Linked DNA regions of Daphnia pulex. The protein of the gene in region 2 binds, or shares a complex with, the protein of the main gene of each other region. Links are inferred from orthologs where the notes say so. Each region holds a gene or a part of one and is shown on either strand. Other genes may lie near its edges.

Region 1 (15,385 bases), on a different chromosome or scaffold from region 2:
TGACGATTAAGTCTAAATGATTGCTATAGTTTCCTATTTTCTGACACATAACTCTTTGAAAAAACTTACCTTGTGCAACATTAGCCAGATCTCCCCCATAATCATGACTGACAAGAGGTTTCCGTTCATCAGACGGCATGATTTGTGATTTTAGGAAGAAGTACCGAACGAATTAGCTGAGTCTGAGACAACTGTGTCGATAAAGAAACAGTGAAACACCCCTTGTTAGACGACGTAGACTCGAGAACATTGACTTGCTTTATTCAGTCCTAACCAACGCCTTGTAACATTTGCCGCAAGAGGGCATTGATAGTTCTTGTACTAGGATCGTATGGTCTCGTAATATCATATATCTGCTAAGTTCCAGGAAGTACACGGCGGTGTATTTCATCGCATTTCCGGCAGGAAAAAAGTGCCGTTTGTATATTGAGAGCTACGATGTTGTATGGTAATCTATGTAAAGTATGCTTTTTCTCTTGACCAATTACCAATATTATGCGTGTTTTGATTATTTTATCATTCCTACCTTTGAGGGAGGCAGCAATAATAAAGAGAAGTCACAGATTTTTCTGTGACATTGACATTGTTATAAATTTTATCAGCTCAATTTTTAAATTCAAGGAAAAATTCCATTTTAAAAACACTATTTCGCAATTCGTATATCACAACCACACCAAAACTGCTGAAACCATGCCGAAACCTTAAATCACGCCAGCACTGTAACAGTTGTAGCTGTATTCTGATCCAACGAATTAAATCTCGTTTGGTGGTGCAATGGAAATCGATCGCGGAGACGGATAAGCAAGCATTTTATTGTGCTTTTAAAATTCAAACATATGGTTTTCAGACATTTCCATTTTTTGACATTTACTAACAAAATAAATGATAAAATCAAGGGTCTTAAATTAAAATGGCACTAAAAAATGTCCTATCTATGGCCTATTCTAAATTTATGACCTGTTATACCTCATTCATTTGACAAAATGTTCATAATTTGTTACGTGAAAATAAAGCCTACCTTTCAAATTGAATCTGAAATCCATTTTTCGGTCGAAATTTTCCAATAGTAAAGTATTCCTATTTTTTTCTTTTTGACGGTTTTGAGTTATGTCTTTCTATCTCACAAGTCACACTGTAACTGACGATGAATGTTAAATTGTTAATGCTGCAATATGAGTCATTATAGGCTCGAGTCCTCTTTAGTTTCACAGTCAACAGATTGGAGCCGATAGTTTGGGACGACATTCATCAGTTCTTTCGCAATCGTAGCAACAGCTAAGGCATTTTCCAGAGAGGCAGCATTTATTATCTTATCATTTCATTCTGCAGTCTTCTTTTTGAATATTCATCCGAGTAGTTTTCAAGGATTTTTTTCTTGAAAATCACTATAAAATGGACGAATTCTCAATTTCGTTTTCTTTTTTCTTAATAGAGTGACTAAAAAATATGCGCCGTGCTTCTAAATATGCACAGCTACTTTGATTATATAGGCTAAACTTATTTGGGACACGGGAAGTCGGGAAAAGCAACGTGACCAGCAGCGTAGCCGCAAAATAACCTAGGAAATAAGATGATCTTTTATAGATGTTCATCGGCCGCACTATAGCTCTATAGCAATATAAAAATTTTTGAAAAGAAGGCCAACTTCACCATCTTACTAAATCTTTCTAATATAATAATTTCTAATCGGAAACTTTCTTATACAGTGTGAAATATTTTTGGGATAACTCCCATTATTGCAATCTTGATTGAGAATAATCTCCACCCCAAAATCTAGCAAATATTTTAAAAATCTGAATAGTAATATAATTTAATAAATCTGTTTGACAAGTGCTGGTAGGAATGACTAATAGATCGGACTATTTTCAGCCGTTGGAACTACAAGCCCGCAAGTATTACAACTATAGGAAATTGTTTTAAATGGTACTGAACCCATCCATTATCAATTATTAGATGACCTCTTTTTTATTTTTATAACAACATTTTTATGAGGAAGAAAACGGGAATTAAATCTAAAAGTATTGTTTTCTTTAAAGATCTGGAAAAAAGAAGAAATAAAACTCGATAAAACTGACGAGCAATTGATGCGATACAGCGCGAATTGCTGCTATATATTCTTTTCTTTCTCTTTGATAATGCATGTCCAGAAGCTAAGCCCAGCATCCTGGTGTCAAGTGAAATGCAACGGTTGACTCGATCAATTTTTATTTTTGTTGCTTTAACTTGTGCAGCAGCTATAATAAACAGACACCTTCTTTATAGCTCCAGTGGTCCCGTTTCTTTTGTTTTTTCCCAACTTTTTCCAATCGTCCTCTTCCAATTTTTTTTTACTGGGGGTGTATATACATGGAAAAAAGAAACAGAGATGAGAACGAAATAAATTGCAAAGGGGCGGAGTATTAGGGATGATAAGTTGGCTATAAAATGCGATAGTAGATCAAGAAAAATTGTCATTTGCTTACATTTCTCACTCCGCTAAAGAAAGAAACACTCGAACAGCAAGCTTTTTACATTTTAGTTTGATGTGAAATCAGTGCACCGCTTTCGACAGCTATAAATCAATACCTTATTGGAAATCGTAACTCAGGTGAATAGAAAAGACGAGAAAAAAAAACAATCTAATTTGTATTGTTAATTTAATAATCACAACAATTATATCAATCCTGTATGCAGGTTACAATAATAGACGGAAGAAAATGCGTTCTACTTTTTCAGTTTTCATACTGCTATGTCTATTTTCCATACACTTGCAGCCAAGCCATAGTCATTTACCGCCATTCTTCAAAGAAAAGCTTCTAGGAAAAGGGAGTCAAGGGAAAGATGCTGGTGGGACGGCTTTAGCAGCCGTGATTTCGTCACGGAAAATTGGTCTAGGTCTGAAAGCCATCCTCTTCAAGCCGTTGCTTTTAGTGGCACTGGCCAAAATCAAATTCGCCCTTTTGCTCGGCAAGCCTCTTGCTCTGTTGGCCATAAAGAAACTCTTACTGAAAGCTGTTCTAGGCAAGCTGCTGCTCAAGATTCCTTTGATCCTCCTTAAAGGCAAAGCCCTTTTGTTTAAGATGTTGGCTCTCAAGATCAAACTCATCACCAAAGGTTTACTTGGGTTTAAAGCTCCATTAACTATGCTCTTCCTGGGTGCGTGCGCCTTGGGGTCCGGTCTAGGTTTGGCTGTAGCGCTCGGTGCTACGCTTCACAAGTTAAAAGAAGACTCTTACGAGGAAGACTACAGCAGTTATGAGGAGCCGTACTATCCTCCACCAAGGCCCTCATACGGTCCACCATCTCCTCCTGCCTACAGCTCTTCTTCGTATTCACCCAATCCTGCCTACAGTTCATCTTCTTATCCATCTGATCCTGCGTACACTTCTTCTTCTTCTTCTTATTCACCCGATCCTGCGCACAGTCCTTCGTATTCACCCGATCCTGCATACTCGGCTCCAGCTGTCTCCTACTCACAAAGTGGCAGGGACACATTCTCGTCGAACGGTTATGGCAACGAAGTCGCCAGCCTGACAGTCGGAATAGGAGAAACCAATTTCGGAACTGCTGCTGCTGGCTATTCCGACTACGGGAATGTCGCAAACGCATTTCAAGGTGGCTATGAAGGTAGACGCCAAAAGCGTGACTATTCCAGTCTCAGTTGGTTGATTGGCGCTGACGAGAGCAATCAGAACGAAGGTGAAGAATTTGAGGAAGAAGCTATTGATGAGTCACCCGAGGACCTTCAACTCGAGTTTGAAGCGGCACGTACCAACGGAAACGCTTACCTCTACATGGCCGCTCAGTTTGACGAGAAATCCTGCGGTCGCCGTCTGCTATGCGAAATCTATCAGAAAGCTCACGAAAGCCTCACTGAAGACGAAATTCTGTTGCAAGAAATTTTCGGGTTCGTCATCGCAATCTTTATTTCAACTCTTTTAATTATAATTTGCATTTGTTTTTGTTTTCGTTTTTAATTTCTAGATATCCTCTGTCTGCGTTAAGCGAAGAAGACGAAGGTACCCCGAAAGAAATGTATTACAGGGCGGCACAGTTAGGCACAGCATACGAAGGTCGACCAAACAATCGTGTTTGTGCCCGATACTATTCCGCCTGTCCACACAATGCCGACCAGCTCATCAATATCTTCGTCACCGAAGATGTTCAGACTAATGAAATTGACACAACTGACCACCGGCCTTCCGCTCACCTGCAACCACCTCAGTCTAGCGCTAACTTACCCTTTTACCAATCTCAGTCACCAGCCGTTACGGTTGCTCAGTCATTAAGACAAGATTTTAGGACGGATCAACAGTCATCGACCAAGACAGGACAACAGCAAGTGAGTCGACCGGGCAGAGTGTTTCCGGCGCTTACAAGCCTCCGACACAGATTTCTCAAAGAGACAGCACCCAACACTGCTTGAATTGCGATTTCAACTCTATGAAGAATGAACTGTAGACCGGTACGCGTCTTTATAGTTGTACTTTGACGATTAATTATTAGCTTAAACATTTTTCCGTATGTTACAGTATTCGATGTTGACATCCTTTGTTTACGTTAATTGTTTTGTTTTTATCTGTGACTTTGTAGTGGCTTATTCATACACCAAAATGTAAATTCTTAAAGGGTCTATGTAAGAGTCTAACTTTAGCTGCTTTAGCTACGCGATGACGCAAAGAAACCGAATGACTCTGCCTCAATATTTCCGTAAACAAATAAATGCCAGTAAATCTTTTTATTGTTTGAAATCGTGACGTTGCTGTAAATTCTGTGACACATATTATTCCTATAAAGATTGATTATATAAATTTTTATGATGGTGATATGAAGAACAATCGCAGCGCCTCTAGCGGATCAATGTGCCCTATATTCAATTCTACCGCTACTAATTTTTGAATAATATTAGCGTAATAAAAATATACCTTATTATAAGCCTTCTTCTTTTACGCATCTTACCTCATATCGCTTATTCATGACATGATTCTTGAGACACAAAAGTATTCCCGTTGTTCGAGAAATAAGTTTTGCAATAAATAGACATAGCGATTTTTTTAAATATTTAACCAGAGCAAAACGGTAACGGTAGATTCGCTATTGAGTGACATTTCCTTTTTTTATTTATAAAAAGGAAACTGGCTCGTCGACGCTAGATGGCTGGAAGCAGTTTCAGGAATAGGGAAATCTTGAATATTTTATTAAGTTATTGTACTGTAAAATGCAATTGTTGGTTGTGTGTTAAGTGTAATTTCATAGTCGTTGATTTTTTTAAAAGATACCCTATTTTTATTTTTCTCTTAGCTGTATTGGACATATCGATATCTAATCGATATCGATTGACGAATTTAAGAAAAAAAGTGTGCTGTCCCTAAAATCCCTTAAGGCTAAAAAGTTGTTTTGTTTAGTATTTACGTGAAATTCCCGATTTCAACCAACATAAATTTGAGAATCCAGTGCCACAGCTCCTTGTGTAATCAAGATATAGTTTTGCGGTTAAAAGTTGTTGGAAAATATCGCGACTTTTAGATTTCAGATAAAGCTTTCAAGTTTTTCCTCAGTCTTGGTCTACAGCTCTTTTACATCCATGGGCTCAAGAAGGTAATCATTTGCTTACTTGAATGTGAACACTTGTATGTTTTCCCCACGGTAACTGACTAAGTAGTTTGTTGAACCCAAAAAGTGTCACCTTACAATTGTTTTGTTGTTATGCCTTTGTTTTAAGCTGAGACTGATTTTTTGTAGGTGGTTTCATCCCAATGTGTCAGGAATCGATGCTGAACTCCTTCTCCTGAAAAGAAGAGTTGATGGCAGTTTTTTAGCTCGTCCCAGTAAAAGTAATCCAGGAGATTTCACCTTGTCTGTTCGGTAACAATCAAACTGAATATTTCTTTAATGAGGTGTCTTTTTAATTAATCTAAAACTTTTATATTTTGTTTCAAAGGAGAAATGGCGAAGTTACCCACATCAAAATTCAAAATACTGGAGATTTCTATGATTTATATGGAGGGGAAAAATTTGCCACGCTGTCTGAACTGGTGCAGTTCTATATGGAAACTCCTGGACAATTGCGAGAAAAGAATGGTGAAGCAATTGAACTTAAATTCCCAGTCCATTGCTCTGATCCCACAACTGAAAGGTAGTTACAGTGATTTTATCTGTTTCTTAATGCAAGATTTTATAATTACTTAATTTTGTTTTGTTCTTTTTGTCTATTACTATTATTTTTCATTGCTTATAATGTTTTTTTTTCTTAGACTGTCTTTCAGGTGGTTCCATGGACACCTTTCTGGAAAAGAAGCAGAAAAAATTCTACTTGAGAAAGGGAAGAATGGAAGTTTTTTAGTCAGGGAGTCTCAAAGTAAACCTGGGGACTATGTTTTGTCTGTTAGAACTGAAGACAAAGTAACCCATGTCATGATAAGATATCAGGTGTGATATTGAACATATTAATAAGCTTTATTAATAAGCTTGGATGAGATTTTACATTTTTTTTTTTTCGTATTTCAGGAGCAAAAGTACGATGTTGGTGGTGGCGAAAAATTTGATTCACTGTGTGAACTAATTGAGCATTATAAGAAGAACCCAATGGTTGAAACTACTGGAACAGTAGTTCATTTAAAACAGCCTTACAACGCAACCAGAATTCATGCAAGTGGAATTGAAAGTCGCGTTAAAGAACTGCAGGTAACAACGGGATCCGGATACAAGTAATTATTTTCACTAGTAAATATGGTATCAAGCTCTTTCAAAATTTTGTTTTATTGAAATTAAGGACACAAGTATTTTTGTTCTTAAGTAATTATGGACTGTTGTATTTAAAATTTTTAATAATTTGGGCTTTAAGTAATTCATGCAACGTGTATTTAGTCAAATACTCGCTAGTAATTATGGTCACCAGTAATTAAAATTATGTTCACAAATAATAGGTTCTATTAGTACAATTGTTCGTAAGTCACTAGCAACGACTTAAGTAATTATATTCTTAAGTAATTGTTTTCTTAAGAAATTATTTTCTTAAGTAATTATTCTCACAAGTAACTATTTTCTTAAGTAATTATTATCTTATGTATTTACACGGTGTAAACACTTTTATTATTTTGTATTTAGAGAATTAAAGTGAAACGTCATTTATTGATTGCGTTATTGCGTAGGCTCAGGTTGCGTACAAACTTTTACGCGTTTGCAGTTTTAAGAACGCGCCTGGAAATTACATCAACAGTTTCGAGTTGTCTGCTTGTCACTTGTCAGTTTGTTTTTTTCCAAAAGTCAGACAAGAGTTAATTGCTGGTTAATTGAGGCTCAAAAGTCAAAATAGGCGTTGTTTGTGAAAAATATTTTGTCTTTGGTAACATATTTTCTTTCTTTATAAGTAAATGTAAGTTAACATTTGTGTAAAAATGTTTGTTTATTCTGTCTATTTATTAAGAATCAAATTGTTACACCAGTTAAAGGAAACAGGAGTTTATCATCAGAAGAGATTAAGCATTATCATTCATCAGTACTACAACCAGGTGGTATTGGATGTCAAATGAATTTTAGAATGCTTCCCTCCAGGTAGCAATAATATTTCTTTTATGTATATTTTCTATTCTTAAAATTTCGTTATCCGCCTAGGTATTAATGAAAATATTCAAGCAGACCTCAAAGTAAAAGTCACAGAGCTGATAATAAGAGTTCTGATAGCAAATGAAGGTCTCCATTACTATCAGGTTATAGCAAAATTCAATTACGAAGATGATCCTCTTACATTTGTTATGCTTCCATGCACAGGGTTTTCACGATATTGCCATCACACTGTTATTGCTTGTTTTAGGAGAAGAGAAAAGTCACAGTGTGTCATGCAGACTTTCCCAATCACATTTCCAACTGTTTATGGGACCAGATATGGAGCCTACAATGAAAATGTATGCACTAGTCAAAAATGAAAATCGTGATTTGTACAATTATTTGATGAGGTATTTGAAACCCCTCCCCCCCCCCTAAAAAAAAAAAGAGAAATATTCTCTTTAAAATTTGAATAACTTGTTTTAATTCTAGGTTGGAGCTAGGGACAATTTTCTGCCTTCCGTGGGCGATTACTTGGTTTGGCCATGTTCTCAACGATTAGGAAACTGTCGTAAGATTGTTTGATGTATTTATGTTCTCACATCCATGGACCTCTATGTATCTATCTGTTGTCGTCGTGTTGCATAGCGCAAGTGATATTTTCTTGACACCGTGTGAGATGCCGCTTCTACATCAAATGCTCTCCAACGTACTATTTTTTTAATAAGCTCTTTTTCGATTAATGTTCTTACAGTTTTATCTTAGGTCCCTGATAATCTACCATTTGATAGTCTTATTACTGAAACAGAAAAGTTGATGCGAACCTATCCACCAGATGTAATGGAAACAGTTGTCCGAGAGATGCACGCTGAAAAGTATCTTAAGCATTTAAGTTTCTGCTGATATTTCCTGAATGACATTAATGTTTCATCTTGTTGTAGTATTCGTAAGATAAAGGAAGAGGACGAAGAGAGGAAAAGGAGAATGGAACAGAGAAAGGCTGCTTTACAAGGGAAACATAAAAAAGCGGCGATTCAACGTTGGACTCCTTGGTCTGGATTCAGAAATTTAAGATCCCAAACTGCGAAGGTTGTTGCACTTAGCGTAAGCGTTGCAACATTCGCATTTATTTATAACTATTTTGAAGTTCCATTTGTCATGTTTAAATGCTTGTCATACCCAATAATTAAGAAAAACAGAAAATTTCATAATATTGAATATTGTGCCTGTTGTGTTCCTCTTCTGTTAAAGAGCATTCCTATATTTCAAATTTTATGAATGTGAAAAATGTAATTAAATAAACTGGTTTGTATTCATTATTCCATGTGTTTTACACTTTTAGACGTTGATCAGCCACATAGCTTTCTTGGCTGTTTATACAGTGCCACCCTATTGGACCGATTTCACAATCTGCACACATCAAATATTTATAGTTCCCAAGTCCCAATCGTATTAGAAAATCCAACATTTTCAAATTGGAACATATCAGGTATCAGCCAAGATTTTGTGACAAAGCAAAAGTCTAGACCGATTGATTGATCGATTCAACTCTGATGTCACCTTAGGCGAAAATCTATTTCGTTTCTTCAATCGATATCAAATTCAGAAAAAGAACTAAGTTGGTCAATAAAAGTGTAGTAGACATTGAGTATAGACAACAAGGGCGTTGTGCTGATTAATTCGTCATTCCCTCAAACTTTTCTTGCATGTGGCAGACGAAAATGGCACTTTTCGCGAATCGCTAAAGAAAATGTATTTCCTTTTTGTATTTTTAGAATAACGCGAAATTGCGCTGCGCGACTAACAAGGACATGTACTTGTTTGTCCGCAGGAATTGTTCATATTGCAAAAGTGGAGCCAGTTACATTGTCAGTCCCGAACTACCGATCGACGAAGATCGATCAATATGACGGTTCCTCCAAAGATAGATCTTACCTGTGCTGTACGTCGACATGTACTGAGCAGGAGAAAATGTAACTTCTCCGACGCTGTTTTCAACCCGCCACAATTTGTCGACATTTTCCCGGATCCGCAATTGACATCTTTGTTTAAGGTTTAAGGAGTAAAGAAATCGGAGTCCAATGCCAAGCTTGTGATGTTTCAGCACTTAATGTAAGTCAGTATTGAATTTAAATTTGTCAATAGCATTATAGCTAATACAAAACGTATTGGAAAATTTAGATCAATACGGATTGTGCTACGACCGAGGCCCACGGAGTTTTCCACAAGGAAGGTGGATGGCCTCGCGATGTCAACCCGCAAGAAGCCGATCAAACGGCTCGCTACCGCAAAAAGATCGAGAAGGATGAAGCTTATTTCCGTACTGTTCTACAACTTGGACATGTTGAATTGATATAAATGTGAATGATGTTTATACTAATAAGTGCAAACAGATTTTTTTACCCCATTGTAGCAAATGGAACATTACATCAAGCAAAACAATGTATTTAACATCTATGAGGATTATTTCACTGATTCTCCCGATGTGTAATCATCAATTAATTTAATACTTTTTTTTTATATTTCTGGATGGCTGAATTTTATATTTCCAACAAACAAACGCCAGATCCGAATCCTCTGCGAACTCTTCATCTGCTAAAGGATCCGTCACCGATAAAACGCGCAGTCACAGTCTTAGTTGGAGTCCCGATATGGAGGAACCAAATTGGCCGCTGCAACTATTCAGATCCTTTTTGGAAAAATCTGTTTGACCACAAAGAAAATGATTCTTTCATCTGGAATATTGGTATTGACATTTGCCGATATGAGAATGATATGTCTCTTTATTCAGCAGTATAACTTTGCAAGTAATAATTCCTTCCATGAATAGAAAGAGCTGTGCAACCAGAAATAATTTTACGCAGCATGTAGTCAACTACGTTCCGTCTCGTTCAATCCGCGTGACCATCACATTTTAGCTGGTGGATCGATTTATGGCGCTGTGGGAATTTGGGACGTTTGTAAGAGTCAAGGTCCAGTCGAATGCGTCCCCATTGGTGTCGGTCATTCGGAAAGTGTCACTTCGCTTATTTGGAGCAATTCAAAGGCTGGAGGAGAATTCTTCTCCGCCTCTGGCGACGGCCAAGTAAAAACACGATAACAAATCATTTTGATTATTTCATCTTGATTATATGATTAACAATAATAGGTTCTTTGGTGGGACATGCGAAAATTAAATGCGCCAATAGACGCACTTTTACTGGAACCTAGTTCAATCCCTCGATCGGAAAGCGCTTTATCTGCTACTTGTCTCGAGTACGATCCTTCTATGCCAAACCGTGCCAAACAAATTCCTAGTTGGCACACGTCAAGGTGCTCATTTCTCAATTCATTTCACCTAAAAATAAAAAATGAATTGCCAATTTGCAGGTATTGTGATGAATTGCAACAGAAGAGCCCGAACAACAGCGGAGAGGATAAATGGATAATGTGCCAATACGAGGCACACTTGGGCCCAGTTCACGGTCTACATCGACACCTACATCTGCCCAAAATCTTTTTGACCGTTTTGGATTGGACCACGAATGTTAGGACCGAGGACATTCGCGATTCGCCCATTTTAACTTTAAAGTGTGTTCGCTTATGTCTATTGACAAGCAGATTCAAATAATAACTTGTTTCATACTCTGCTGCGTTGTAGGAATCAAAATGTCCAGTTACTGGACGGAGCGTGGAGTCACACACGGTCGTCCATCATATTCACTGCTGCAACAGACGGTGCTCTTTACCTGTGGGATATTCTCGCCCAGCGGATCACTCCTACGTTATGCTCCCAGGTCATAATAGAAAAAATTTGATTAAAATGTTGACAATTATAAATTTTAAATGTATTAACCAGGTCAGCGAATCTCCGCTTTTAAGTTTGAGCACCCAGGAACACGGAAAAATCATGGCAGTTTGCAGCAAAGACGGACGGTTTTCCGTCATTCAAATAAGCGACAATTTGTCGACAGTAACCAAAAACGATAAAGTAGCGCTCACCTCGGTATGATAAGTTATAGCTGGAAGAAAATTTAAGTCTATATTAAGTCCTATAATCCAATCCACTGTTACACACAGTTACTGGAACGAGAAATCCGAAGAGAAAAGAATTTGGAACAGCGGACTAAAGACAGCAAGAGTAAACAAGGACCCAAAACTTCCATTTTCCACCTTGCGATTGCAACAGTGACCCAAGCGGCCAAGTTGCTACGCAAGGCTCATTGGGCGTTCAGAAACCTCCGTCTCCCATGTCCCATCACCTCGCTATCTAAAAAAATGTTTGATAGCTTGAAGGAGACACTCCAGGCACTTAATATTAATCAAGAGAATACAAGCGGCAAAGAAGTTAACGAAAGATCGGTTATTGAACCTTCGGCTGATATGTTGCCAGCCACTGATAAAACCGGAAGCCAAATCAACGTATCTGTCTCTCACGCTGCTCCAGTGGCGCCATTCGTTGATCAGACTCTGCAATCTTCCGAAGAGGCTTTCTTTGAAATTGAAACCATTGATCAGGTATAATATTTGAGTTATTTCGTTATGATATCAGAAAATGTCATGTACAACTTTATTTGTTTTTAAATATGATCACAGGAAATACTTTCCCGTGGAATAGAAGAAAAACAATGAGTAGACGAATAACTAGTATGTATGAATCACCAATGATTTTATTAATCCGATCCGCAATCAATATTTCCATTATTCAAATGTTCGTTTTTTTGGGAGAAGGGGGTATAATTAAGAGAGGTGTCGAGAAAGAGTGTTACAAGCAAGTAAATAAAAGTTGTAGGGGAATTAGAAGTAAAAAGCGGTAAAAAGTCATTGCATTCACAAGTCATTTCCAGGGATCCAGCTTTCGACTAAACCTCCTTTACTATTTGGTTCCGTTTCGAGACTATAAGTCATGCAAGCGGAGCCATCCCTATAAAATTTAAGATTTAGTGGAGAATGTCATTATTTAAAACAAATTTGTTTAAAGTAAGTACCTGTGTTCAATAGCTGCCACTATAAACCCATGGGATGATATGTCTGAGCAGAAAGTTGAGTAGGCAGTACGGCACGCAGTAAGACCATGAGAAAATACAATTACAGGAAATCTTTGTTCATTGCATAGCTCAGCATCTAACGCTATAGGAATGTATGAATTTCCTGGCTCACATACATCACAATTAGTTGACTTTAACCTTCTGTTAAAAACAGGTACTTCATTTCGCTACACACCAAAGGCCCAGGATATCAGCTTCTTGCCAAAGAAAGGAATCATTCCTAGTACTATGGTGTAATCTTCTACGTATTTTGGGTGGAGGAGCCAGCTTGCCCAACGGGAAGAATGTTCCTTTGGAGAAAAGAGGTAAATAGATTAACCACAAAAGTTCAGCAGCAATTTGAGAAAAGGTCGCTTACATATACATCTTTTATTTGACTAGGATAGTATACTCGAAGAAAGCAACCATCTTCCTTGCTGGGTCCACCAGTCATTAAGTTGGTGCAGCCAACAACATACTTCCCTTTATAATCAATAACAACAAAGTAAGTTGATTACATTTACAAAACACAATTCACCAGCAATTAACTCTTCTCTGACTTTTGGAAAAAACAAACTGACAAGCAGACAACAGACAAGCAGACAACGCGAAACTGTTGATGAAATTTCCAGGTGCGTTCTTAAACCTGCAAATGCAACAAAGTTTGTACGCAATTAATAAATGTGGTTTTTCCTTTTTGTGCAGCATCACTATAATTCTCTAAATACAAAATAATAAATATCATAATTAATTATTCATTCTAGTACGGAATATAAACAATTAAATATGACTAACTTTTTAATTAAAATGCTTAAGAACATAATTACTTGGGACTTGAATTACTTATGGCTTTAATTACTTGTGAATTTATTTACTTGCAAAAGGGAATTACTTGTGTTGGTTAGCTAAATTACTTGTTGCCAGTATTACTTACTACCATAATTACTTAGCTGACAGAAAATAATTACTCATCAATTTTATTATTTAATTCCGTAATTACTTAAGAGAAAAATTACTTACACCCATAATTATTGATCTTATTTACTTAATACCCCAAGTACTTGTGAAAATAATTACTTGATGTCCGGACTCGTAACAACTCCGCCAAGCAAATGCTTTTTTTTTTTATTTTATTCATTTATTGTCTGAAATGTCTAAAATCTTTCTTTCTGTATTTTTAATTGTTTCCTCTGTAGAAAGAGCATAGCGTTAGTACAGGAAAAGGAGGATTTTGGGAAGAATTTGAAAGCTTGCAGCAACAAGAATGTAAACATCTTTACAGCCGGAAGGAGGGACAAAAACCAGAAAATCGGAATAAGAATAGATACAAAAACATATTACCATGTATTGTTGTTTATACTGTTTGGAAAGGAAGAAAGTACCAAAAAATAATATGCTAATTTCTTTTTTAAATTATTTTAGTTGACCACACCCGTGTTCTACTCAAAGATGTAGATACTAGCGTAGCTGGAGCTGATTACATCAACGCCAATCATATTCGGGTAATTAAATTTTTCAGCAACATTGATTGTTTTCAAATATGTATCATTCTGAACCAAATTTAAACAACAGCCTGAGGACGATGGAAGTGGAGACCTATTTCCACAATACATAGCCACTCAAGGCTGTTTGCCCCATACAGTGAATGATTTCTGGCATATGGTAAGAATAAATAAAGTGAAATTTAATGAAAAAAATCAATCACGCATAATATTTCGTTGTATTGTATTATTCTAGGTGTGGCAGGAAAATAGTCGAGTCATTGTCATGACAACAAAAGAAGTCGAAAGAGGAAAGGTAGAAATGTCGCTACTCGATCTTTTTTTTATTTATTTTATTTTTCATTTCCTATTTGTTTTATTCATTTCTGCAATTGATTTCAGTCTAAATGTGCGCGATACTGGCCAGAAGAAAATCAATCGAAAGAATTCGGTAAGGTCTCATTACGGTGTGTCAGTGACTCACTCCGTGCGGATTACACCCTTCGGGAGTTTGTTGCAACAAAGGACAATGAAGAGAGGCTTATATATCAGTATCATTTTCAAGTAAGTTGTAGACTTGAGAAAAAAAAAACATTGTGTGATGTCTACAATTTTATTTTCTTAAACTTAAACAGGCGTGGCCTGATCATGGAGTACCAGCCGATCCTGGTTGTGTGTTAAACTTTCTTCATGATGTGAATACCAGGCAAAGTTCTGCGGCTAATGCAGGCCCAGTAATAGTACATTGCAGCGCGGGAATCGGTCGTACTGGAACGTTCATTGTTATTGATATGATCATTGGACAAATTGAAAGAAGAGGTATACTTTGTGTGCTTTTTAAATACAAATTTGGCACAAAAAAAAAGCTTTCTTATTCGATAAATGTTTTTTTTTGTGACTAGGTTTGGATTGCGAAATTGATATTCAGCGGATGATTCAAACTATCCGCGCTCAGAGATCCGGTATGGTACAGACCGAAGCTCAATACAAATTTGTTTACATGGCAGTTCAATACTATATCGAGACATTGTCTCAGCGCATGCAAGCCCAGCAGGTATGTTGAGTTGTATCATTTATTTGTATTTGATGCATTTCTTAAAATTTGGTTTCTCATGTTATTTGATGTACAGAAGAGCCTTCAAGCTGGCAGGGAGTACACCAACATACGCTATTCGACGGAAGGTGGGTTGACACCTGCCACTTGTGCGCAGTCGCAACCATTAGAGTCTCCAACAGGCAAAAGTCTCTCTAAATCAACCCTGTCGCTGGCTAGCGTCTCTACTCCTTTACTAAGTGCTTTTCACGTAACAGTATCCAAGTCGGAGAAACCTCATAAGGAAACAAAAGGCGTTCCTAGTCGGACCATAACCGAGC
Region 2 (15,410 bases):
TATTGCCGTCTACATCAACAAAAATTCTAATGGATAATTCTATTTGTCTAGATTCTCGCCCCCGTGGTCGTGGTGGGTACAGGGGTGGGCGGGGATATCGGCGGGGAGGGTACTAGTTGCTAGAATCCCCCTTTTTTCCCTTTTAAATTCTAGTTGTGTATTCGCATTTCCTTCTTTCCCTCTCACCTAAACCTGGAATCACCCTTTTCACCTTTTCATTTAAAAATGGTAACAACGGAAGCGGTCGGTAAACTAAGGAAAATCTGATATTGTGGAGTCGATGACGGGACGGACTATGTTTGTTAGAAAAATAGCTTCCATCTCGCCAAAAAAAAAATGCCCTGTGGAATGTCGACATACAAATTGCGATTTTTGATTCACTTCTGATTTTCTTAATTCTCCGCCATTTCAGCAGGAGGTCGGCATGTTAATGCTCGTTTCTTTGTTCTATTTAGAATCTACGAATTTGGTGATAGAATGGTGGGTGCGATATACCGGAAGGTTGGACTTGTTTGCATTTTATTCAAGGATTACTTTATTATATCTTTATTTTCAGTCGGAAGTCGAATCCAGCCAACAACACGAGTCACTAACTACTGTTTACAAATTCTGATGTTTTGCTAGGTACATATCCGACGGGCGGCATCTCATTGTTGCTAAAGAGATGAGGTTTAGATTTCTTACTTCAATGTCCGTCCCTGAGCCGTACACACAATTAAGTTCTGCTATTGTTTGTCATACCTAATCTCGTCATTAATACAGACAACGATACATTTAAATTCGTAAACTTTTCACTTGATGATACGTATGTATTTTACAAACAAAATGGCAGAATAGTATGCGATACTTTGAGACTCGTACAGTGTACATTAAAATTTCACCTACACTCATTACATTTTGTGATGCACTCACACACATTAGGTTAGTTAGTCCGAATACGTACACAAAACTCAAATAAAGAGCGATACGCGAGGCAAATTGCTAGCACTACCCAAGGTTGTTTTTCTGTTATAAAATTGAGTTTAGAGAACAAATGATCGGATCCTTAAAATCGCAACTTGAATAGTAATTTTGAAAAAGGGAGGGCTGGGGGTAAACGATTTCACTGTGATGACTGGTTGGAATTTTTCCGATAAGTAATCCTACATTTCAAATTGGTCGAGGAGTGTGTAACCCAGTAACGGCGGAGGTCAGTAAAGGCTGATGAGATTCACCTGGAGGCCCCCAATCATTAAGACCGCCTTGAGGAGAAAGACGATGTATAAGACGATGTGCAATAGAAAATCCACCACCGCCTTCCAGCTGAGTTAGAACCAAGAGCACTTGTCTATGCAGTGGTGGAATTGCGTCTACTGTCAACAGAGCTCCTCGAGTAGAAACGACATTGAAGCTTTCCTGACAGTCGCAACGGACTTGCAACCATTTATCTGCATGGCGGTTTTCCACTGTAACTACTAGTCCGGCCTGCAAAAAGGAAAATGTTTTAAAAATAGAAATTGTCTACAAAAATGTACAATGATAACTTACCCAACCCTGAGTGAGATAATAAGCAGTCATACCCTCTCTTCCCTATAGATACAAAAATTTAGTTTATATTTAGAACATATTTTTAAACGGTAAAAGATCATTTCGAACCTCGTAGCGCTGGCCTTTGGCCATAGTCAAACTAATGAGTCCATCAGCCAAAACAAATGGTGAAGGAGTGATATGCTCTACAAGAAGTCGCTTGCTGCTGTGCAATGCCAAGACGCACGGCGGGTAGTGGGTGACGGCACCTTCAACTGGATTCAAATCCCAGTGATTGAAAGCGAGACAGACGATGAGATACAATCCAGGTTCCAGGAATGCATTGGTGGCAACGAAACCCCTCAGTTGCCGTCGACTGTGCACAACTAATTGGCCAATTTGGGGAGCAGCCACTGAGCCAGTTCTGTAAAGGGCGACGCAGAGATCGACGGGTGAGCGTTGTGACTTGTCCGTGTGTCGGCTGCCCTCTTGAAATAAACTCAAATCCAATTCGGTTGGCTCAACCACCGTCACTAGGACGGCCAAAACATGGTCTGAAAAGGCGCAAGGAGGCAAGAGACCAGGCAATCGAACTTCACTCCAACCTGATCGCACCTTGCAGACATCAATGCAATCAAAGAAAACCAAAGTATCCTGTGGAGAAAACCAAAAAGAAACATTTCAGTGAAATATTGCCCATTCACCCATTCAGTTGATAAAGGGCCCTACGAGCACGTGCTCCTAACAACCGCAGGGAGGAGATCCCAACAATTGGTTCGGCAATGCCGCTATGGGTCATTGCTGAATGCGGTTTTATTGTTTAATCGATTGAGATTTTATCGACAAACAAACAAATCCAGATTGCGTAGGCACACAGGATATCATTAAGGAACAGTAGGGGATAGTCCAGTCATGTAAAGAATATCGTAAAGAACGGATGGTCAGTGCGTGATACTCGTATAGCACACTGCCATGTGCTCATTTATGTATGAACAGCTGTGTTATTTTATATAGTCTCCTTCTAACAAAAATAATTCAAAAAGTGGTTCTTCGGTAGATCGTGTCACCACAACAGTTTTGAAAAGTGTAACCAGTAGTTTTTATTCCGATACGGCAAGTTTTTTTTTCCAAGCACGCCAATTTGAAATTCAACGCGGTTTGTTAAAAAAAAGTTTTGGAATTTCTTTGTGTCTTTTACTTCCAAGAAAAATAAAATCTTATCGTAATAAAAAAGAGAAGAATTCCTTTTAAATTACCTGGAATGATATCCAAAAAACACCTTCCACATCCCCGTGCGGCATACAAATGGCACGAAGTTCGGGGTTCCAAAGTTTGGAGTCGTCAGCCCAGTCACCACGCCAAGAAAAGTGACCCCATGGGTTACGCATCCTAAAGTGCAATTCCAACTTTTAGATCAAAGTTTCAAGAAAGCCAAGAGAGTCATGTTTAGACCTGAGAAGGCGAGGACCACCTTTGGAACTGAAATCAAGAACGTCTAACACGGAGTAGGCGTGCCGGGGTCGCAGTCCTTTTTGGCGATACTCTTCCTCGTCTATCTTCATTGTGCCACCACCGCAAGAAGCGCCCATCAGGAAACCTTTTAAAAGCAAAACGAAACAATGATAATAACATTACCCAAATGCGAATTAAGGTTAACCAACCTGCAGTGCGAGAGCTGAGGAGTCGTGCCCAAATCAAATCTTCATCCAGAACTTCAGCTTCTTCCCTGTTACTTCCGTTGGTTGATGGCTGGAGGGAAATGCTCTCGCAAGGGGCTCCTGTAAGCGAGGCAAGACCTGACGTAATCAAGAGTTAAGTACGTACTTTTTTAATTAAAACGATTCGGATCAAATTACCTTCGATTGAACGACCCGAAACAAGGGCCCCATAGCCTCCATGAATTTTCGCCATGGCTTTTTCGATTAGCGGCACCCATAATTGCTTCCTTTTAGCTTGAGAGTAAAGCAGATGTCCACGTTGGTCACAAGGCAACAAATCGTCAACCAAAACAGTTCGCCACATTCCATCTTTACATAAGCGTATCTGTAATAAATACAAATTAGATTATGGGTCGCACAGCAGAAGTACAATTGAAATTAATAAGAACCTGATAAGCGCCTTCGTTACAGACTTCCCGTGTGACCATAACATTTTGAACTAATTCGTCTCGTTCGGCTAACACTGCTAAGGCGCTCAATAGCCAGCAGTCACCCAGGATTCCTTGAGATATGTCGGATGGCAACGGGGTACGAAAAACAGCCCACCTGTAAATGAATTGTGATGAGCGAACGTGATTGGTATGAATTTGAACATTCCATTTTCTTACTTGACATGGGAAGCAGCGCTGCTAACTATTTGACTGGGTCGGAGCCATTGAACCCCTTCTTGAGTGCTGTTGTGCAAAGAGCGTCCAGTAGGTAGAAATGAATCGTCGACAAATTTATCGCCACTGGTTCGACAAAAGCCAACAATACGCTTCCATTTGAGACGCGCTTGTTCCTCTTCCGTGTGGCGGAGAGAAGCGGACGGCTCACTTTCATGGCGCGAGATGGCGGCCGGAGCAGGTGGCGAAAGAGCTGTCAGACTTCGACTGGATTGGCATATTTCACAGCTGTACGATTTAGACTTTTTGTTGTGAAATGTACAAGCAGAACATTGCCATCCTCCCATCGCAGAATCGGGAGTACGCTTTGATGACGGAATGTTTCTCGCTGGCGAAGAAGGAATCGGGCTGCTGCCGATGGTCGGTGTTCCAACCTGTTATAAAATTAAGTTAAACGATAATCGATAAATTTCAGAAAATAAGAAACGCTACAAAATATTAAGGATAATAAGATGAAAACTATATACAATTGCAATATCTACGTACCTTTGTCTGGGACTGCGGAGTCATAGCGGTTTTACATGCTCTGCATTTGGAAATCGAGTGTGAGTTAAGCAACGTGCACTGAGGACATGACCAGGTGTCTTTTTTCGTGGGACTATGAGCAGAGCCTTGACTTTCTACTTTCTTCTCGCTGTACAGTTGTGAGCAGCTACACGCAGAGCAAACATTTTCCCCGATTGGATTGATTAAAGTGCATTTTTTGCATGTCCAGCTCGCGTCGTACTGATGATTAACGACCACCGTACCGTTCTTCCTACCATTCACGGCTGCCTCTTTGGAATGGCTGTCAGGCACAAACAATTCCCTTTTGTTAGTTTCAAGTAAAAAAGTTATGCTATTGCTCATAACACTATAGAGTTTAAAAATACAATACATACTTGTTGTCTGAGTCCAATCCTGATGTTCCATATTTAACTATAATGGGTTTTCGTGGTAATGTTAAGGGGATATTGGGAGAGCGAGGTGCTTCACAAACCTCACAGCAGTGGAGATCAATAAGATTTGAAAATGTGCAGCGTTTGCAAGACCATGTTGAGCTATTGTTGTTTGGCTGTTGAAGAGTTTGATTTTGCTCTTGACTAGCTGAAATTCCTTTAGGTTTGCTGGTCATGCAAGTCATGCAATCTTGAGCACTATAAAAAGTTGGTATATCTTGTCTATTAATAGGTTCTAACAAAAAGAAATTGATTGATGATTGTTCAAACTAACCTTGCCACATTCAGAAATAAGCAGTGAGGGCAAGTCCATTTTGCTAAGAATACACAAGTAATAATGGAATAACAGAGATTCCCACCCAGCAGATGATAAATTATTAAAACGTTAAATACCTGATGAAGAACTAGAGTAGGAGACAGAATGTTTAAGTTGTGAATGATTTTTCGAGGACCGATTGTTTTCCTCAAAGTTGACTGGTGAACACATTGGACGGTCTTCTTCTTTTTCTATTGTACAAGATCGTTTTGCCCCGCAATTGAAGCAACAGCTCTTTTCAGTTGGATTAACTTGTAGGCATATCACACATTTCCATTGCAAGACTGAGGCAATCGTACCCATTTAAAACTAATCCGATTTTAAAAAGCCAAACATCAAGAATTAAATAAAACGCACAAGCCAAACATATCGACAAAGAAACTGTGAGATCCAGACGAAATTTCCCTGTCCGACTGACAGCCGCGATCAGCTGATCCTGAATCGATCGACCTGCCCTCCTGAGGTATTTCGTCTCTGCTGGTCTCCCTTCTGTTAACTGAAGCGGCAGCCAATAAGGTGTAGGATACACTTGCTGAGTCGCCACTTGACATGAATTCTTCATCACCACCCAGTGCTATAGGTGATGCAGATAAGGAAAAAAAAAATCGTTCGTGAAGTTGAAAACAAATATCGCGTGTGGCGTTGCGCGCGCGTTTGTTATCGAACCTGCGGGGCGGACCGAGCGTGAATGTGGTAAGAACACGCATAGACTTTTAGGTGCACGCCACTATAATAACAACTATACTTTTATTTTTTGACAGTAGCATGTTACCTTCTTTTTCTTTTTTCCGAATAAATTTCTTTTTTTTTAAACTTTGGTTGTATGGCTTTAGAGAAAACAGGTATTCGCGCACAAGTGTTGCTTAGATTAAATGGAACGCAAACTTAAATACAGGATCTATCCTATCCAGTTCCATAATCATGTTCTAATCGATATTTGTAAATCAACAATAGAAAATCGACCATTCCCGTCGAGCGTGTTGAGTCGCTGACCAATGAATTTTTCAAAATGCAAATTAATTTTGAATAGGTTAGGCCACCTAGCGACGCGTATTCAAACTTTTTCCTCCTATCAACGCCTACGGAGGAAAAGTCGAAAACGCTCCCCAAATAACAAATAAAAATGCATTAGCATTTTCTCAAAGCGTTTAGTAAAACTATTTTGATATGAAAAACTGATTGGTTTAACAAAATTCTATCGTGTTGTGCATACAAAAGTAGATAAGGAAAAATGGAAAACTTTGGACGCTGTAAAGAGAGAATAGACGTCAGGTATTTGAGATCTGGCAGCGTCATGTTAGTCATCCCATCCATCCCAGCTCACTTGTGTTTCTCCAACTTGGCTGTGGAATTTGAGCTGGAAAAATGTCGTAAAAAGTTCTTTTTCCCCTTTGTTGTTACCCGTTTTCCGTCGATTGGATGGTCGTCGTCTTGTCAATAGAATCGACGCCTTAAATATTAAGTGCAATTGTTTTGTATAGTTTTGTTTCGCTCAGTTCTACAAGGCACCATGGCTTTGGCCAACACGGAAATCGTTCATGAAGGCTGGCTTGTCAAGTCTCCGCCCACCAAACGAATATGGAGAGCTGTAAGTGTAATTTGATTCAATTTTAATTAAAACAGGTTACTCATTATTGAACAGTTGCTCTTTTTACCTTGATAAAACTCCATGGTTCAGAGTGCTAAATAGTAAATACTATTATCAAGCTTCTGTTGGCCATTCTCTCTGTTAGTGGGTCACGATGAAGCATTTCTTTTCCAATCATTTTCCCATTATTATTTATCTCTTTGTTTCTCAAATCATAGATGCCAAATTATCCTTTATTATCCCATTTGTGTTATGTGTGGAGAGTAGAAATTTAGCTGATCCCAGCATTACCATGGCATGTACTCGGTCCCTGATAAATCTTGGAATTCTCTGTGTTTTTTTAAGCGTTGGGCTGTATTGGTTGCTCAACATCAAGATAAGACTTGCCATCACATTTTTCAGAGTTTACCTCAAGCTTTATCTGGAGATTCATAAACTTAGATAACTGCTTTTTAGCATTTCCCCCCCGAGATAAAAAATTCCTCCAAAAATAAATTATGCAGGAGCTGTTTTGTTATCAAAATGGTGCATGGTTGTTTGTGACACTTTGTGGGCTGCCACCAATCGGGCGAGTTTTTTTTTCCCGGTTTCTGTGGTGAACGCTGCAACGAAATTTATTCGATCTATATATTTTGTGTTTTGTTTTCATCATCTCGATATCTGTGGAAGAGAGGAGGATGTTGTTCCCACGGTTTTGGTAGATGCGCGCTTCTCTGACCTATGACCGACTCTTTGTAATCGGATCTGTTGATGGCATTCCCCTCCCCTCTTCGTTCAACTTAGATATGATCGAATTTCTTCTCCTCTCCCCCCTTTCTTTTTTTATTATGAGAATGTTTGCCGATCTCGTTCTCACTCTACGACAACCCCCATGCGAGGAGACCCTTCTATTATTATACAAAAATGTCTTGTGTGCCTGGCCCATCAATTTCTTATCCCTTTTTTTTCTTCTTCTTTTGGTGACACAGAAATGGCGGAGAAGATGGTTCGTGTTGAAACATTCTGGCGAGTTGCCTGGACAATATTTCCTTGAATATTACACGGATCGAACATGTCGAAAATTAAAGGGCAAAATCGATTTGGACCAATGCGAACAGGTGAATTGACTTTTTAATTTAATTTGTTCAACATAATTTTTAAAATTATGTTTTTTCTTGTAACAGGTGGATTCCGGGCTGACGATTGAAAGTAGGAAGCAGCGGTATGCCCACATGTTTGACATCCGCACACCGAAGCGCGTCTACTTTTTGGCGGCCGACAGTGAATCAGACATGAATAGCTGGGTGGGTTGCATCTGTCACGTCTGCGGTCTCAAGGTGTTTTATCGCGAAGATGAAGAGACCGGTTCGTCTGTGACTCTGACACGGCCCGTCCCTAACGCGTCATCGACAATGGCCACCAGCGGAGTCCATTCGGCCATGGCGAGGACTTTGCAAGTGAGCCAGTTGTTGGAAGACACGCCACCCACCTCGCCCACTTCGCCGACCGGCAGTTCGGGCCCTTATTTCCCGTTGAGCGAATGCCTTTCAGGATCGCGCAGTCTCGTCTTTCAAGAAGCTATGGGATCGGTGGGCCAGCCGTCGTCGGCGCCCGTGACTCCAGCGCCGACAGCGCGAGGCTTAGCTCTCGGAACTCAAAGTTTACGCGGCCGGCCTCAGCGCGAGGGCTGGGACATTTTCTGCGACCAGCCCAGACAGTTGTCGTCGCCCGGCCACTCACAATTGGGTCAATCGCAGCAACTGCAGCCCGTCAGTTCGTCGGCGCGCAACGACCAAGGAGTTCACGAGCAAATTCGTAGCTTTGAGGACAAGTTTGCGCACTCTTTTAAGAGACTGCAACCGGCCACTGGCGCCAGCAAACGACCATCAGTTCCCCAATTGATGGGCAGTCAGAAGTTTGTGCCGCCGCCTCGCCCGCCCAAACCACCTCATTTAATCGACCAGCCTTCGCACAATTATCTGAATCTGGAACAGCTGCAATCGCCAACTTCCGTCGCTCCTGGTGGCAGATCGCACAGTCGCAGCAGTAGCCCACGCTCTCCATCGTCGACATCGCCTCCTTTACCTACGCCGACCAACGCCGATTCCTGGTAATTATTCAACGATTAGTAAATGAAGCGCAGACCTTGGTTAATTGATTGTTTCATTTTTTGGGGAAATTTTAAGGTACGATTTCCCGCGATCGCACCAGGGTGACCACGGCAACGACGGCAAGACGGGCAAGGATGCCCAGAGACGGCACTGTTACTCGAACGCTGCACCTGGCGAATTGTCGTCATCGGCTGTGGCTGCAGCGGCTGAGATTTTCACGTTCAACAACAACGCCGTCACGGCCGGGTTGTCTGCCGCTTCGGCCATGTCGCCCAGCGTTTATTCGAATCTGGCCAGCCCCTTCCCTTTGGCGAGTCCAGCACTCCTTCCCATGACCCCCTTTTCTCCGCCTTCAGTCAACCGAACACTCAAGCCCAAGACGCAATCCTCTGGTGCGGCCGGCGTCGTTGATGGACCCCTTCCACCGCCCTCAGTCAACCGCCAGTTGAAACCCAATCGTAAGTGGTCTCGTTTGAGGTCTATCGATTTTTTGGGGTGTTGTTAACGATGCCAATCTTTTATTTTCTCTCTCTTCTCAGGTCCCGTTTCTGGTGTCGGACAACACGCCGATTTCCACGGAAGCAGTTCAGACGATGCTGACGATCCATCGAGTCGGGGCAGTACCCGACCCAATTCCGCCCATGACGAGGAGCAGGTAAAACATTTTCCTCCTTTTTTAAAAAATTAATGAATTAACTCGCTTTGCTGACCAACTAAAACTAACCTTGGGTGGTGTCCGCGGTTTCTTTCCTTTTTTTTCTCATTTGTGTCTCCCCTACAGATCTACTATTTCATTCAGGGCTCGAGGGTCATTAGCGCTGGCCGTCAGCTGGACGATATCCAGTATTTGGACTTGGATTTGGAGTCTGACTCGTCTCTCCAATCGCCCAAAAGTCCCGAACGGGGTCACCATCACCAAAATCACCACCAGGCTTCGTCGACTGTCTACAAGACTGTCGACTTCATCAAAACGGAAGCTTTCAACCGAACACGTCTCACCGTCGAGGAGCGTCGCTCCAAAAAGGCGCAATAGGCACTCTCGAACCACCGCCACCTTTTTTGGATCGTTCAAATGTCTCGAGAAACATCCAAGACAATGACTCAATTCTTTTCAGAAGAAAAGAAGAAAACAAAAAGTAGGGAACACACGCACTCGGCACAAAATCATATTTGACACACATACGCGCGCGCACCCCCACGGAGAGAGATTAAAAACAATTCTGTGAGATTATTTCCGTTGTGTAAAAAAGACAATCAAAGATGATGGCACACACATATACAAGCCTTGTCGGCCATGTGTTTTTTCGTCAACCCCCTCCCCACCCACATTTGACTCCTCCCCATTTTTCCTTTGACAGATGGACTCGAGCCATTCCCTTTTTTATGCACGTGTATGTGTATATATATATATACATATATATATATATAAAAATAATCATTTTGGCCAATACTTCGACAACAAATTCAAAAAAACTTGCCCGAAGCTTTTCTCCTTACAATATATAAAAGTTTTTTTTGTTTAACGCAAAAACAAACAAAAAATTACCAACAGGATTGTTGGAGTGTTATTCCTTTCCCGTTAATCTATTTTTTTTTTAAATTGATGTTCACTTGTTTCAAGGGCGGCGATTCTCGCGATTACAGCAAAAAGAAAAGGGCAATTTAATGACAATCGAAAATGTGGGGCAGAACAGCATATTCATTCTTTAAAAAAACAATTCTTTTGATGATGATTATTACTTGTAATTTTGTTTGTTTTTTCTTTCTCTCTCTTTTGTCTTTTGCATTTGGATTTCTTTTGAAAAAGAAAAGAAGAATCACGCTTCGTCTTTTATTCTTGTACGTACGTTTTCCCCAACACTTTGAGAGATTATCTGTAAATACAGTTCTTTTTTTTTTCTCACTTTAATTCATTTTTCTATTTCAGTTAACCTTCACCGCAAGTATACAAGATGAAGGTGTCGCATTGCGCGCATGATCGGCTCACCGGCATCTGTGTATGAATCCCGTCTGGGATATTTAATTCGTTCGTCAGCTTTCACCGAGGGGGTGCGGCGATTGATCGGCGGGAAAACAGAAACCGCTGGTGCGTGTGTAGGTTACAGACAGACATAACACTGCCAGCACGTCGTCCACGTCGTCGTCTCGGTCTAAATATATATAACGTCAGACCTAGTACGACAAAATGCGTGTGCGCTGCTTTTCTCTTTGTAACTGGATGACCTCCACCATCTTTTTTTCGTCTTCTCCTGTACCCCGTCTGCAGTTGTGCCAACCTCCTATAGGATCCGCTGGAACAGTCACATGTTAGCAAGGGATTTGTGTCCGACTTGGGTCTATACTATATTCCAGCGTGTTTTTAGAATTTTTCATTTTGGCAGCAGAAGGAAATGTTCAGCACCGAAATAATCAAATGTGAGAAATAGAAATGAAATGTTTCCAATATTGGTTCAACTCGTCAAACACGACACTCACGCAGCAGCACATAACAGTTGAGTCAACACACGCTACATGGATAGAGAGAGAGATATTGCAGCAATTTTGTTTCTCTTTTTTTCAGTATATTTCCCCGTGTCTGTGTACAATCTCCACGAGACGAGGTTATTGGCGTCAATCAAATTTTTTGAAAATTCCCGCGCTTGACGGGTTTCGATAAAGACGGGCAAATTGCGGTTGGAAGAAGAGCCTCCGCCAATGCATCCTAATGACGTATGCAAATACACAGACATAAAATAGCTGGTGGGGGTATATAATCAGACGTTGTTCATTGCCATCAAAACAAATTCTTCAGATCAAGAAAACACCAAACTCTGCGCAATTTTTCCGCTTCCAGGCGATGATTTCTCTCCGTTCCAACGAGCCACCCTGGAGCTCGTTATTAGGGCGGGTTTCGTGCAAATTTTTACTCGGATCTTGTCCGTCCAGGGTGGGCTTGATGTAACTTATCGAGAAGAACAATTTGATGTGAAATATATATCCCGATTTGTCCATGCGGTTTGGTTTTAGGGAAGGGGTTGATTTTCTTTGATTTTGGCGGGAAGTGGGAGGCGCGGAGGGCGGATTTTTAATATCGATATCTTAACTTCTTAAGCGTGGTTAATTAGAATATTTGTGTCGTCTGCTTTCCTTTTGTTTCGCAGTTTCGAAAAAGCTAAAAGAGACGAAGGTTCAGACATTTTTTATCATAGAAAACTGAAGGGATCACTGGTTTGATGGAAACGTGTACGTGGCTGCAAGAGAAATTGCAGAACAAAATAAAATGTGGTCGTCGTGCAAACTTATTTGGTGTCGTGACTCGTGGCCATGCTCTCCACTCCATGCTGTTTCTCAGGTAAATAAAACTAGAATACGAAATACGAATGGAATGATTTTGGAAGCTCATTAGAAGAGTTCAACCTTTTCCAAATTTGTGAAATGTTGGTGCCCAACTACAGTGACTAGCATCTATCATGTAATAATGCTTGTTGTCGATGCATGACAGAGTTTGTTTGCTCCATGTATAACCTTTACCTTTGTGTAGATTTCAGTACTGAGCCAGCCATCGTAACTACAAGATTTGCAAGTTTTGACACTGACCCGTCATCACCAACAATCTCAGCATCATTAATTGGGTAAAGATTTTTGTTGCTTTTATTAACCTGTTACCTGCTGTATATAAATGGTGCCTAAAACTTGCATAAAAAGGTACTGCCAGGTATTACATGTAAACCTTAAGCAATCGTGTTTATTAACAGTAAGGGGATAACCACTGTCTTCTTTCTAACTTTTCCCAAGTTGTTGTCTCTGCAATATTTTTTTCGTAACCTGTTTTGTATTTTTTGATTAGATAAACAGCTCCTAGTTTAATTGGGAAAACTCTGTCCTCGTGTACACCCATGTGAAGGTGAGTGTATACTCACGATGACCCCCTTATCCTATCCTGACTGGCGTCAACCGTGACTTGACTGAGGATGGAGCACTTGTGGTTGCCTGGCTGTGGATTTCCTCGGTTTTAAGGTAGAAACAATGTAATCCTGTTCTTCCTTTTTATCTATTTGGTGGCGTTATGGTTATATAACGTTACGGAATACGATTATTCCTGAGCTAGGCCATTTGACTGGAACTGTTTTCTCTTGCTGTTTCTGTTGTATCAATCAGGGTTAATTAAACAACTCATTTGCAGAGCGACTGCACGGTATCAGGCTTGTTTTATACCTCACAACTTAATCTGCGGGTAAAAAATCAAATTAAAAAAAAAAACTTGTTTAATTTTAAAAACCTCAACAATGTGCAAAAGTCTCGTTTGAATTCAATTCAGCGCCATACAAACCTTCGGGAATCGAGCAGCTACTGGCAGCAGCGCCATCACGTTGCCAAAGTTGAAACATTCAATTCTACAAAACTAAATGAATGGAATTTCATTCCAACGTCTCGACTTTTTAGATTGAATTACACATCACGTGGCTTGAGGCACGCGCTGTCATAACTCCCGCGGGATTGAACCCAATTCGGTTTCACGTTCTATACCCAATAGGAATCGTCCAAAACAAATTATTATGTTCCATGTTGTGTGCTGTGTGTTTACATCTTTTTTTTTCCCCGGCTGCGCATATGGCTTACGTAATAATGTGTCGGTATTACTGTGACGCGCCGCTTTTATTTGACACCGGCTGGCGCGGCTTCAGTTTTCCCCCGAATAGTTTTTCGAGACGTGCATCGCATGTCCGTGTTAAGTTTCTCAGCATACCTACGTATACATGCTAACAATCAATGTTAAAAACCAGAGCTCTACAAGAGCTGCTATCCCATCGTCTGTATTTAGTGCGGCCATCGGGACCGGTTAGACTCGATTTCATTTGTACCGTTGGGAATTCTGTTACGAATGTTTTTTTTCCATCAAGCTGTCGGCGCATACCATTCTTTTTACGGATTTACCTATCTAAATCACTCGATAGAAATGGTTGTTGTTGTACTACACCTTTTTATAAATTAAAACAGTTTGTTTTGTGGGGAATTCTTGCTCTTCTTTGTAACTCGGTTGATCAATTCGAATTGTCAATGGCGGCAGCATAGAGCTACGCCAGAATTTCATGGAAAAATCATTTCATTTGATGTAGCCAAAGCTTATATTCAATACCTCTCATTTGTCATGTACGCTATTTGTATACATCCTTGTTATTAAATTGATACGAGCGTTGTATAACGATTTCAAATATGCGTCTGTATAAAATATCAATCGGAGCTAATCAGCTGACGATGTTTTTTCTCTTTTTTCAAAGTCGATGTGATTTTATTTTTTCGATGCTGTGATGCTTGCGGTTAAACCCACACAGAGAACCCATTCACAAGTTGACCTGAATGTCACTATCGCCATCTGGAGTTCATTTCTCAGTCGCTCCGGCTTATCTCTTCTTCTTTTTTCAACGTGACTTTTTGAGGGGCTATTTTATTTTTATGGCATCAGCATCTAACGGTATTTATTATACACACACGGTTGTATGGGTTGGCCTTATTTTTTTGGAAAAGATTTGAAATAACTTGATGAAATAATTGCGAAATAGATCCAGCGGGATGGACATCACCTCAATCTATGTATTAAAAGTTACACAGTAGTCAGTTATAGACAAGATGGATGCGACATTAGTCACGGATGTCGTCCGCTCGTTTGCTGACGTACTCGATCTTGTCCCTCGATTTTCTTTCAACGTGTGGCCGAGTGGTGGGCGCGACAACCGGAAAAAAAATAAGAAAATAAAAAGAATCTGTGCAAGTTTGTGCGGAGGTGTCGGGAGTTCACGCTGCCGGAACTGGCATTTAAAAATGGCCGGTGGTGCGTCACTTTCTCCCCCCGACTTTAATTCAATTCCTTCCTTTTTGGCATTTTGTTGGATTTTTTGAGCTGAATGGAATTTTTGTCCAGAAATTATTATAAAAATGAAATCTCGACTTCCTGTGAATAGGAAAAATGGAGGAAAACCAGTTGAAAAGGGGCAGGATGAAGATGGGAAGGAAATGGAACGGAAACGGGTCAGCTCACCTCTTGTCCTCTTCAGATTGAACGCACAGGTGGAATACACACGGCTCGTAAAAGGAGTAGTACCTATACAGACGAAGGGGGGGGGGACACAGGATAATATGCCCTCGAGGGCAACTTTTTTCATTTTCCCCTTCGAATTTTTGTCTTTCTCGGTGCCCTCATCCGCACGGACACCGGATGTCCGCCCGACAACACACAAACAACAGCACAGAGCAATGAAAAACCACTTTGACGAAGCCCCGCTGCTGTCATAAACCCAACACAGCGACTCATACCCTCCTCCTCCTTTTCATTCCAACACGCAACTTCATTTGGATTTTTCTCTCCGTCACAATCTCGACAAACTGTTGAATCCCTAATAATATTCCACGGACTATATATAGACACACCCGGAAAAATAAAAATAAATTGCGTTATAATCTCGTGAAAAGAATAAAAATTTCGTGATTCAAGTCAAATCGGATTTTTAAAAAACCTTTGGGGGTTTCGCGATTAGAACGTTTCGCGTGTGCGGGATTGTTATTACATCTACACACATAAATAGGTATGTAGACTCTGTCTGAGAGATTTTTA

Evidence for each region.
Region 1: the proteins of protein daughter of sevenless-like (region 2) and tyrosine-protein phosphatase non-receptor type 11-like are in contact, whole or in part, in a crystal structure (PDB 4QSY), measured with the Homo sapiens proteins. The link is inferred for Daphnia pulex from reciprocal best matches to the Homo sapiens genes GAB1 and PTPN11. Residues at the interface, in NP_002030.2 of Homo sapiens: Lys623, Val625, Glu626, Tyr627, Leu628, Asp629, Leu630, Asp631, Leu632, Asp633; in NP_002825.3 of Homo sapiens: Gly13, Val14, Glu17, Arg32, Pro33, Ser34, Lys35, Ser36, Thr42, Arg47, Thr52, His53, Ile54, Lys55, Leu65, Gly67, Gly68, Tyr81, Gln87, Leu88, Lys89, Glu90, Lys91, Ile96.

What each region holds. Positions count from the first base shown.
Region 1 is NC_060017.1:3,946,707-3,962,091, reverse strand, and holds the start of tyrosine-protein phosphatase non-receptor type 11-like, read left to right. Parts: upstream 1-5,155; 5' UTR 5,156-5,563; coding exon 5,564-5,577; intron 5,578-5,721; coding exon 5,722-5,844; intron 5,845-5,920; coding exon 5,921-6,115; intron 6,116-6,233; coding exon 6,234-6,408; intron 6,409-6,486; coding exon 6,487-6,663; intron 6,664-7,130; exon of another isoform or gene 7,131-7,324; intron 7,325-7,405; exon of another isoform or gene 7,406-7,533; intron 7,534-7,593; exon of another isoform or gene 7,594-7,688; intron 7,689-7,749; exon of another isoform or gene 7,750-7,934; intron 7,935-8,016; exon of another isoform or gene 8,017-8,233; intron 8,234-8,289; exon of another isoform or gene 8,290-8,399; intron 8,400-8,465; exon of another isoform or gene 8,466-8,843; intron 8,844-10,375; exon of another isoform or gene 10,376-10,609; intron 10,610-10,672; exon of another isoform or gene 10,673-10,836; intron 10,837-10,893; exon of another isoform or gene 10,894-11,102; intron 11,103-12,155; exon of another isoform or gene 12,156-12,333; coding exon of another isoform or gene 12,334-12,427; intron 12,428-12,491; coding exon of another isoform or gene 12,492-12,654; intron 12,655-12,726; coding exon of another isoform or gene 12,727-12,841; intron 12,842-12,909; coding exon of another isoform or gene 12,910-13,013; and 19 more. Other genes in the region: type 2 phosphatidylinositol 4,5-bisphosphate 4-phosphatase-like, read right to left, coding at 70-139; uncharacterized protein LOC124203633, read left to right, coding at 2,697-3,886, 3,964-4,405; platelet-activating factor acetylhydrolase-like, read right to left, coding at 12,334-12,427, 12,492-12,654, 12,727-12,841, 12,910-13,013, 13,091-13,238. UniProt on the Homo sapiens protein: Acts downstream of various receptor and cytoplasmic protein tyrosine kinases to participate in the signal transduction from the cell surface to the nucleus. Positively regulates MAPK signal transduction pathway. Dephosphorylates GAB1, ARHGAP35 and EGFR.
Region 2 is NC_060019.1:10,838,291-10,853,700, forward strand, and holds protein daughter of sevenless-like, read left to right. Parts: upstream 1-6,323; 5' UTR 6,324-6,653; coding exon 6,654-6,731; intron 6,732-7,699; coding exon 7,700-7,828; intron 7,829-7,894; coding exon 7,895-8,820; intron 8,821-8,896; coding exon 8,897-9,279; intron 9,280-9,360; coding exon 9,361-9,476; intron 9,477-9,602; coding exon 9,603-9,854; 3' UTR 9,855-10,730; downstream 10,731-15,410. Other genes in the region: apoptosis inhibitor 5-B-like, read left to right, coding at 52-116; calpain-D-like, read right to left, coding at 1,150-1,464, 1,528-1,569, 1,636-2,160, 2,763-2,895, 2,959-3,103, 3,168-3,302, 3,363-3,549, 3,614-3,770 and 5 more. UniProt on the Homo sapiens protein: Adapter protein that plays a role in intracellular signaling cascades triggered by activated receptor-type kinases. Plays a role in FGFR1 signaling. Probably involved in signaling by the epidermal growth factor receptor (EGFR) and the insulin receptor (INSR).